Drosophila melanogaster: one gene and its partner. The protein of the gene in region 1 interacts with the protein of each later gene in a biochemical or structural test. Each region holds a gene or a part of one and is shown in the gene's direction. Other genes may lie near its edges. The genes, in order: Su(var)3-9 and JIL-1.

Evidence for each region.
Region 2: of the proteins of Su(var)3-9 (region 1) and JIL-1, one has a biochemical effect on the other in vitro, tested with the Drosophila melanogaster proteins (one study listed by BioGRID).

Annotation. Positions count from the first base shown.
Region 1 is NT_033777.3:15,259,360-15,265,399, reverse strand, and holds Su(var)3-9 (suppressor of variegation 3-9), read left to right. Parts: upstream 1-1,941; 5' UTR 1,942-2,052; coding exon 2,053-2,118; intron 2,119-2,462; exon of another isoform or gene 2,463-2,561; coding exon of another isoform or gene 2,562-2,603; intron 2,604-2,678; coding exon 2,679-2,853; intron 2,854-3,502; coding exon 3,503-5,169; 3' UTR 5,170-5,536; downstream 5,537-6,040. Other genes in the region: Set, read right to left, coding at 371-381, 445-795, 858-1,047, 1,456-1,713; eIF2gamma (eukaryotic translation initiation factor 2 subunit gamma), read left to right, coding at 2,053-2,118, 2,679-2,853, 5,714-5,950, 6,017-6,040. UniProt on the Drosophila melanogaster protein: Histone methyltransferase that specifically trimethylates 'Lys-9' of histone H3 using monomethylated H3 'Lys-9' as substrate.
Region 2 is NT_037436.4:11,089,986-11,094,827, reverse strand, and holds the start of JIL-1 (JIL-1 kinase), read left to right. Parts: upstream 1-1,634; 5' UTR 1,635-2,556; intron 2,557-2,971; exon of another isoform or gene 2,972-3,055; 5' UTR 3,056-3,188; coding exon 3,189-3,930; intron 3,931-4,842. Other genes in the region: CG46439 (uncharacterized protein), read left to right, coding at 1-335; Iyd (iodotyrosine deiodinase), read left to right, coding at 477-633, 689-1,395. UniProt on the Drosophila melanogaster protein: Phosphorylates 'Ser-10' of histone H3. May regulate gene expression by establishing or maintaining the structure of more open chromatin regions. Also required for normal polytene chromosome structure, for oogenesis and for viability throughout development.

The DNA of each region.
Region 1 (6,040 bases):
TACCTTAATAGTAACACCTCTAATTTGCTATTAAATAATTAATTAATTAATAAATATTAATTAATAAAGTAATAAATTATTTTATAAACATCGAATTGAATACTTTGGTAATTCTTTACTTACATAAAAAGACACGGCTTGAGATTCGATTTACGTCTTTTTATTTGTTTTAAATTAATTTAATGGTGATTCTCATTTTCTGCTGCTCTTTAATGGATGTATGACTTTTGCTTATTTCGAAACCTAAATATGTCCTTAAATCGTTGCGAATATGTAAATGTTGCATAACCATCGGGAAAACTATAGTTGCCAGTGGTTATAAACAATGTGGGCCTTCGGTTGCGAGCGATTTGAAATTGCATTAATCAGTTTACTTGTCATCTAAAATGGTTGGTTAGGTGGTTAGTAAATTCCTTCTGTTCAAAAGGCACTCCATTAGCTTACCCTCATCCTCTTCCTCTTCCTCGCCTTCTCCATCCTCACCGTCCTCGTCGTCAAATGCCTCCTCATCATTATCTTCGTTGTCCTCCTCGTCCTCGGGCTCCACCTCGATATCAGGTACCAGATAATACTGCAGTGGATTTGGCCAAAGGTCGTCTTTTATCAGTTCTGCGATCTCGTCGTTGACGGGATCGGTGTTATCCGAGAACCAATCGAAGAAGGTTTTGTATTCGGAGTTGCGCTTCTTCTTGTTTCCGTACGGCTTTGTCAGCAAAAGTTTTAGCAGGTTCTTTCCCTCCTTCCATTTGATGGGCGTGCTGGTAGACGCGGGCCAGTCTCCGTTCTCGGAAGCAGCTTTAATTGAAATAGTAATGGGTTAGCTAAGCGGATTTGAATCAATCGTTGGGAGAACTTACCCGCTGAATTCAGGTGGAACTCTTTGGTGAGCACCTTGTTTTCGAAGTAAGGATTCTCGTCGAAATGGAAGTTGATGCGGTAACCCGATTTGATGTCCTCAAACTCCTCAACCTCAAGTTTGTTGAGCGCGTGCAGGCACTCCTCCTCCTCCTCGTCCAGAATGCCGGATACTTGCGGGTGGTTGATAAACTGCAAATATGGCAGTTGGGATTAGCTAGGGGATGCATGCTATCAAGCAGAAAGCCATGTTTATGGCCCCTATGGCACTACTTTTCTTTTCAATTATGGCAGCAAATATTTCAGTGGTTTTTGATTTGAAGCCATTTTGAACTGTGCTATGTTGTGTATTTCCCGGCCAGACGGATATATCGATAGCACGATTTTTCCGGGAGGGGGAAAATGCGCGGGGAGCCGGTGGTGTCGGCATTGCAGCCCAAAGATGAACAAGAAAAAATGCCTCGAATAGAGAAAATTTCTTGTACATGTGTGCAGCGATTACCATCACTTCAGGGCTTCGAAAGATCTAGTCGGCTCCACTAGAACCCATCAGACGAACACGCGGAGGGGACAAACATGGCCGCGGATCGAAGTACTCACCGAGGTCACCCAAAAGTTGGGGATGCGCTTGACCAGCTCGCTGCGCTTCTCGTAGCAGGGCTTCCGCAGCTTGTTGTACTTCTGCTCCACCTTGAGGATCTCCTCGCTGGCCTTCTCGTTCAGCGCATCGATCTCGTTCTGGCAGGCATCAATTTGCTCCAACGCCTCCGACTCCTCCTCGTTGTTACCGGCGGCGGCGGATGTGTTGCCATCGGCGGGGGCGCCGTCCAGCTTGGCTCGCTTTGGCACGCTCGACATTCTGCACGCTCTTCCGTTGTGTGTACGCTCGTAATTCCCGAGATATTTGAACAAAAAGCGGCGGTACAGTTGAGCAGAAGAGAAGCGAAGCGGATTTTTAACCTTTCGTTTGCGGCTGAAGAACTGTAAGTGTATCGATAGGGCGGCACTCTATCGATACGCATCGCAGTTGGGCACCGGTGTGACGTGTCCAACACTGGCCAACCATGATTAGAGCACTATCGATAGGCATTGTCGGGTCCAATCGTTCTTCGATATCGAGATTTGATGCCGAGCTGTAATAGCTGAAAATTATTATTTTCATTTTGCATACGCATCGTTTTTGAAAACATCAGCAACATGGCCACGGCTGAAGCCCAGATCGGTGTGAACAGGAACTTGCAGAAGCAGGACCTCAGCAACTTGGTAAGCAGCCAGCAAAGACGACCGCCAGACGCCGCCTTCCCTTTTTTTCCGCCCGTGTGTGAAAGTATACGCGTCGTCATTATGGAGCCGCTTCCCGGAAAAACAGCGGGGTGCGGGTCGCAAGGACGCGCCCAGATTGTCTCGAACGGTTCGCGGACCAATTTCGAGGGATATACCAGTGGGTTTCGCCAGGGCCAGCAGTGATTTGTTGTGGGTGAGAGATCACGGTGAAAATGCAGCACGTGGCGCTACATTTAGGGTCTGTTTGGTTTATCCCGCAACTTTGGCTCTGCATATGGGCATGATGCGGACTCTGGCGGTATTTGGGCTCTGGCAAGCAGATCAGTTTCGCGAGGACTACCTGACTGTTGTCATCAATTTTGAGTTGATGCAATTCAAGCGACATTCTAACCTCAAAATTGACGGCTTTCCTATATACACACATGCATCTGAGAGGGGATGTTTTGTTAGGGGGTGTGGCGGCGGTAAACAAGACTTGTGCTCTGATTTTCCTCTATTAAAGCGCCTTTATTTATCGTATTGCATTTGGAATCTTGCAGGACGTCTCTAAACTAACGCCTCTATCACCGGAGGTCATCTCCCGACAGGCGACCATCAACATCGGCACCATCGGTCATGTGGCTCACGGCAAATCCACGGTGGTCAAAGCCATATCCGGCGTGCAGACTGTGCGCTTCAAGAACGAACTGGAGCGCAACATCACAATCAAGCTGGGTGAGTCAGGGATCCGTGTAAGCTAGCCTAAGCATATAATCTTAAGATGTATTATTCTACTTGATAATAATTTAGCCGTATGTTAATTCTTCCTGCTCGCCCGTAAACCCCGTAGTGCCCTAAGATTGTAAACCTTCTCGGCTGGCCGAAAATAACCCATAATTATCTTAAGAACCACTTTTTAACACCGTATCGCGACGGCACACCGCGTAGCCAACTCTGTCGCTGCTTTACATCGAGATAATGTTGTAAAAGGGTTCTGCGAATGATTGTCTCTTGTAATTCGAATTCTTGTGTATTTTGTTAACTTAAATTGCTGGATTAGCACGCGTTGCCTTGTGTCGTCGCCTAAGTAGTCTAAAATGATAAAAGAAGTTGTCTTTAGAATGTTGTACTTTACAAAGCTGAATTAAAAAGCGTTCCCAAAGATTGGTATTAAGCATATCTTCCTGTTAGCTTAGTCTTGAATCTGTTACATTGATTGATACGACTGATCCAGCAATTTAATTAATTGCCAATCTTTTTCTTCTTTTTCCCTATTTCTCTTGTTTTTACGATTTTTTCGGTTGCGACGCGTCCGCCAAATAAAAAAAAAAACACACCAAACCCATCATCCAATCCACAATTGTCCAAAACTTGTCATTTGCAGAACGCTTGAGCGAAAAAAAAATCAAAAATCTTTTGACCTCCAAGCAGCAGCGACAGCAGTATGAAATCAAACAGCGTTCAATGCTGCGCCACCTGGCCGAATTGCGGCGACATAGCCGATTCCGCCGCCTCTGCACCAAGCCAGCTTCGTCTTCCATGCCAGCATCCACCTCCAGTGTAGATAGACGCACCACCCGGCGAAGCACCAGTCAGACCTCACTGAGTCCAAGCAATAGTAGCGGCTATGGCAGCGTTTTTGGCTGCGAGGAACATGATGTGGACAAAATACCCAGTCTCAACGGATTCGCCAAACTGAAGCGTCGACGCAGCAGTTGTGTGGGCGCCCCAACTCCCAACTCCAAGCGGTCGAAAAATAACATGGGAGTAATTGCCAAAAGGCCGCCCAAAGGAGAGTACGTTGTGGAGCGTATTGAATGCGTCGAGATGGATCAATATCAGCCAGTCTTCTTCGTCAAATGGCTGGGATACCATGATAGCGAGAACACCTGGGAAAGTCTTGCCAACGTGGCCGACTGCGCCGAAATGGAGAAGTTTGTGGAGCGGCATCAGCAGCTCTACGAGATATACATAGCCAAGATAACCACTGAGCTTGAGAAGCAGCTGGAGGCATTGCCACTAATGGAGAACATTACGGTGGCCGAAGTAGACGCCTATGAGCCACTCAATCTGCAGATCGATCTTATACTGCTCGCCCAATATCGCGCTGCTGGCAGTCGAAGCCAAAGGGAACCGCAGAAAATTGGAGAACGAGCCCTGAAAAGCATGCAAATCAAGCGGGCCCAATTTGTACGACGCAAGCAGTTGGCTGATCTAGCATTGTTCGAGAAGCGCATGAATCATGTGGAGAAACCGTCACCGCCAATACGTGTTGAGAACAACATTGATCTGGACACCATAGACAGCAATTTCATGTACATACATGATAACATAATCGGCAAGGATGTGCCCAAGCCGGAAGCGGGGATTGTGGGCTGTAAGTGCACTGAAGACACAGAGGAGTGTACTGCCTCTACGAAGTGTTGTGCCCGCTTCGCCGGCGAGCTGTTCGCCTACGAGCGAAGCACACGGCGCTTGCGCCTTCGTCCCGGAAGTGCCATCTATGAGTGCAATAGCCGCTGCTCGTGCGATTCAAGCTGCTCCAACCGTCTGGTGCAGCACGGACGCCAGGTACCGTTGGTGCTGTTTAAGACCGCCAACGGCAGCGGATGGGGGGTGCGAGCCGCAACTGCCTTGCGTAAGGGTGAATTTGTGTGCGAGTACATTGGAGAGATCATCACCAGCGATGAGGCAAATGAGCGCGGCAAGGCGTATGACGACAATGGGAGGACATATCTGTTCGACTTGGATTACAACACAGCTCAGGATAGCGAGTACACTATCGATGCAGCTAACTATGGCAACATCTCGCACTTTATCAATCACTCTTGCGATCCTAATCTCGCCGTGTTCCCCTGTTGGATCGAGCACCTGAATGTCGCGCTGCCGCACCTCGTGTTCTTCACACTGCGTCCAATCAAGGCGGGCGAGGAGTTGAGCTTCGACTACATTCGCGCGGACAACGAAGATGTGCCCTACGAGAACCTCTCGACAGCTGTGCGTGTCGAGTGCCGCTGCGGAGCTGATAATTGCAGAAAGGTCCTCTTTTGAATGGACTTGAAGTACTATATTTAAATGGCACGCCGTTACCCACCTGAGACATCATTGCATTGAACCTTTTTTTTTTTTGTTAACATATATATATATTACTAGTTGGATTTTATATTCCGACGTTTTAATTATTTATTTGTTAATAAATGCTAATATCGATATATTGGATCTATATTATGTTTGAGGATCTATATTACTAGAGGATAAAACGAGTAATTCTATATAGTTTGTACTTGTATACATTTCATAAACTTAAATTTTAATTTAGTAATAACTTAGTGTTTTGACAAACAACCTTGTAATGTGCTGAAATTATTACCGCATTAAGTGCAAATTATTATTTTACAATAAATATTTTACGATTATTAAGTGATGTTTGTTTGTGGCTGTATAAATGATCTGGAAGGATCAAAGAAATGAATTTAGTTAGCAATAGCACTTAATTCCTTGTGAAGAACGAAGGATTATTTTACGTGTTTGCCAGGCCAGGAGTTCGAAGAATGTATTGTAATATTCTTCATAATTATTATCGCATTGCTTTTAGGTTATGCCAACGCCAAAATCTACAAGTGTGACAACCCCAAGTGCCCGCGCCCGGCCAGCTTCGTATCGGATGCATCCAGCAAGGACGACAGCTTGCCCTGCACTCGGCTCAACTGCTCCGGCAACTTCAGACTGGTGCGACATGTGAGCTTCGTGGATTGCCCCGGTCACGACATTCTTATGGCTACCATGTTGAACGGTGCTGCTGTGATGGACGCTGCTCTGCTGCTCATTGCTGGTGAGTAACCCTGGATCTCTCTGAACCGACAAAAGATATACAAATTACTACCTATTCCATGTGCAGGCAATGAATCCTGTCCACAACCGC
Region 2 (4,842 bases), on another chromosome or scaffold:
AATCCGCGAATAGCCAGCAAGTGCAGATGCTTTGCGATATGATACGTACCGAGCTAACCACTGCTCCCGATTTTATATTCTTCGATGCCAAGTGGCGGATCATCGAGATTCTGAGAGAGGTGCACAAGCGCCAATTGGTTCACCAGAAGGCCATTCCACTCAACAATACACGCCGACCGATTCCGCCGCAAAAACGAAAACCGGGTGAGCCCAATCAGATGCTTAAGAATCCAAAATGCATGTCGGATAGGAGTGCCCACGAAAAGGGACAACAGAGGATGTGCGAGCATCACAAGGGCAGCCATTGCACCTACTGCTGCCGGAACAACAACTGAAGTGGAAACCAAAACCCATCCACCAGCATCCATCGCTATCAGCAATAGCCGTGACCCACTTAACCAAGTGATAAGCCAATCCGAGCGCAAAAGCAAAGCCACTTTCTCTCCGTCGCAAAAGCAGTTACATCTTGAAGCACCATGGATGTGGACGAACTGATCAGCAGCTCCAAGCTACTCAAGCATTGGCCAAGTTTATTTATCACTCTGGCGCTGATATGGATCGTAAAAAGATTGTTTTTTAAAGGGAATCGCGTATTAAAAACATATAATTTAGATGAACAAGTCGAGGAGGAGGGTAAGTTTTAAGATTATCCACGGTGAACATAAAGCTATTCTATTCTATTTTCCAGTTGAACACTTTGCCGATCTTGGCGATGAACTGCAACCGGCTCTGGAGGATAAGCCCCATGTGCCCTTCGTTCCCGGCCAGAATCTCAACCCTAATGGAGCCAAACGCTTATATGAACTCATGCGTGGACGCCGTAGCATTCGCTCCTTTAATAGCCATCCCAAACCGGATCTCAGCGTGATAGAGGACTGCATTCGGGCGGCGGGAACAGCTCCCAGTGGCGCACACACAGAACCCTGGACGTACTGCGTCGTACAGGAGCCGGAACTCAAGCGATCCATTCGGGAAATTGTGGAACAGGAGGAGCTGGTCAACTACAGCCAGAGGATGCATCCGCAGTGGGTCACCGATCTGCGACCCCTGCAAACCAATCATGTCAAGGAGTATCTCACCGAGGCGCCGTACCTTATACTGATCTTCAAGCAGACCTATGGATTGTCGGAGAATGGAAAGCGAATGAGGAGGCATTACTACAACGAGATATCCACTTCGATTGCGGCCGGTATCCTTTTGTGTGCCCTTCAAGCGGCAGGACTCGCATCGCTGGTCACCACTCCTTTGAACTGCGGTCCAGCCTTGAGAAACCTGCTCGGGCGACCCGTCAATGAAAAATTACTCATCCTACTGCCCGTTGGTTATCCGAAAGATGGATGCACAGTTCCCGACTTGGCGAGAAAGAATTTGTCAAATATTATGGTTACTTTTTAAGGTTTATTTACGTCCGTGCAGCTTACGAAATAGTTCAATAAAACCAAACTAAAATTTATGGTAATTCTTATATTTTTTCTATTGATAAACGAAATTTTCACATTTTCCTTAAATTTATTCTTCATTATAATTGTTAATCAAAATATAATATTCTTAAATATTTGAAACGATAGTCTCCACCATCCCTGCCAACCGATATACGGCTGCTTTCCAGCACCACGCTTTTTGGCCTCTTGTCAACACTATCGATAACGATAGCTACGGTAAGTGACACAAAAGCAAAGGGAAAATTTCTACGTGCGGTTCGTGTGCTGTGTGTTGAAATTACAAATAGCCAATTATCCGGCATTAATCGTTTTAGGGCTCTCTCGATTTTAATTGTATTATATTGTACTATAATACAGATATAAACCCGATTTGATCGAGTGTAACGGAAATCGACGCGATTCCCATCAAGGTGGTCCGTACCTAATAAGTGTTCACGAATGAGAGCAAAGCAGATGGCGGAGAGCGTCCTGCGTTTCAATGTGTGTGTGCGTAAACGAGTAGAAAGCGGCGGTAAAAACCTTCTCGTGTAACACAAAACAAATTATACAAAACATTCAATCTCAATATCAAAACGTTACTGTATTGTCTATTGAAAAACAAGTACAAGCGTACGCAGGGAAATTGGAAAATCCATTGAAAATCGAGAGCAACAGTCGCCGGAGCGGAATCAGCGGACGAAAACAAAAACGCTTTAAAAACGCAGCCGATACAGAAAGTGCCAGCGTGTGAGTGTGCATATGTGTACGTAGTTGTGGGCAAAGAGAACGGTAAAGAATAAGAAATCGAAAAAAAAAAATAAAAAACTAACTGTGGAAGTGAAAAATGCGCGACTGATAAAGATTGTGATAATCACGGCATAATATAACAAGCAAAAAAGAAGAATGAAAAGAAACCGCAACCGAATTGGTTGAATAATATTTAAGCCAACGCCAGTGCTGCATAAATCGGTGCACATTATCATTGGAACGTTCAGTGTTGCACATCGCTACCGCCCCACGCATAATCCAACACTCTTCCCCCTCCCCATCCAGATCCACCCACTCACACACACACACACTCCGATTCGGATTTCTTCGTCTGCATTATAATATTGCGCTTATAATCTTTCGCGAGGTGAGTCGAACTCCCAAATAGTGTTCTATTCAGAAATGAGTTTCCCCATCCAATTGTCCGCTAACAGCGGGAAAATTACTCCCGCCTGCGTTGAAACTGTACCATATTGTGGATGAAGAAATGGGATAGAAATGGGCAATGGGCATTGGGAAGGTACGGTGAAGATTGCCTAAATAGAACACAATAAGAAACAGCTATGTTCAAAACATCTTGCGGAATAAATTTCAACAATTCAGTTATTATTTATTTAGTATTTAAAATGTGTGAACTGGAACATTTATATCGTACATGTTGTCTATGCATTGTTGAACATCCATGAATAGAAAAAACTAATTCAGTTTCTAATTAAAAATACTACAACAATAAAACAGTCTAGCTAGCCAAAATGACAACTTTATGTCAGTACTCATATAAGAATGTGTCAAAAAGTTTAATGATTGTCTACAAATTGTTAGCGATTTTCGAAAAAATGTCTTTACTTTGATTTCTGTTTTTCCAGCTCAACGATGCGCCACGATCAGTCCCTGGACCTTTTTATTTTTATTTGTTAATTCCTGGAATATCCATCGATTACGTGAGGAGCACGTAGAGCATTATTAAAGGCATAGGATCTTTTACGGAAGAATCTAGCCATGAGTCGCTTGCAAAAGCAAAACTACGAGATCTTAAGCGGTACAAGTACGTCGCGCCTCAAGAATCATCAACATCCCCGTGAATCGGAGTCACTAGCCTACGAGGAGCCAGATCAAATGGTGCGGAATCATCTAAATGGCCAGCTGGTAGCCAATGGCAATGGCAAAACGCGAAAGAATAGCAATTCCGAAACGATGACCAATGGGAAAAAGTCCAAACTGAATACGGAGGGATCCGGCTCTGGTTCTGGAAAGACCTTGAACTACAATAATAATAACAATAACAACAACAGCATCAGTGCCACCAACGGTCAGTACACCAATAGCAGCAGCAAGACCACTTCAGCATCTGCAAGGGATTACACTTACCGCGAGACCATATCACCGCCCACACCTCCATCCCCGCCCACCACAAATGTGGCGGATATTGTTTGCATATCGGATGCGGAGAGCGAGGACGGACGCGATCCCGAGCGGGAGTACTACGACCAGGACATGGAGGAGGATGAGCCGAACGGGATAGAGATCGATGAATCCAGCTCCAGCTTGTCCAAGGCCAAGTCCAACAATGCAGCTGCAGCGGCGGCGGCGGCGGCTGCAGCAGCGGCAGCAGCAGCCTCGAAGGCCTCCTCGTCGACCACGCCCTCCTACGCCATGCCCACCAGCAATAGTACACCCCTTGATCTGGACAATGAGGCCCATCAACGGGACCTGGAGGCGGTCACCGATCTGAAATACTACGGTGAGTCATTCCACTCAATGATAGTGATAAAGAAGACCGGGCCAACTGCAAGCACAAGCTAGATAAGAAAATTTGTTACAAGTTGCAGGTCAGGATGTACTTATGTTAAATATGATAGTTTAATAATTCCGTCCATATCAAATTAAACCGCAACTTCTTCCCTGTGAATATTTCATGCCATTTTAAGGCAGCTGCCACAGAGCTTATCAAACATGGTAGTGTGGTGGAATAATTGATAACTTTAACCGGGTGGATGTCTCAAGGTTTTATTGAAATGTCGGCAGAGGGTGGCTGGTCAATGCCAGATGAAGTGCCGTCTCTATCGTTCTTTGTTAAAGTGGAGCACATGCATTTAACCTTGACACGATTACCCAGAAAACTCAACCCGGCTTTGTTCGCTCTTTGGGCCAAATCCAAAACTACTGACCTCCCCTGAAATCGCCCAACCTCGCCGTACTCACCTCTCACCACACTCTACATACATATACACAAAGCAGACAGAATATCCACCACCCAAATGTCTAATTTGATAACCGTGGGTCGAAAACCTATTGTTGCTGCTTGTTATTTGTTAAATTTGACACTTTTCGGTTGCATTTTTAAATAAATATTATTTACTGAGGACATTGGTCTGGATTTTGGTGTGGAAAGTAACACCTTTTTGAAGTAAACGTTTTTGTCAAGAGGTTTTCACAACAGCTGTTTATAAATCGAATAAAATAAATCTAGATAAAAACTAAACCTTCTCTAGTTTCGATTAAAATTCAATTCATCAAAGTTTCTATCTATCTCGATAATTAAGATGTAGTATTATTTCTTAAATAGTTCTTATATCTGGCTTATATCTTTCATAATATCATATGGAACCACTGTGCCACTTTTCGTCATCGCCGTGCAGTCGTGACCATGTCA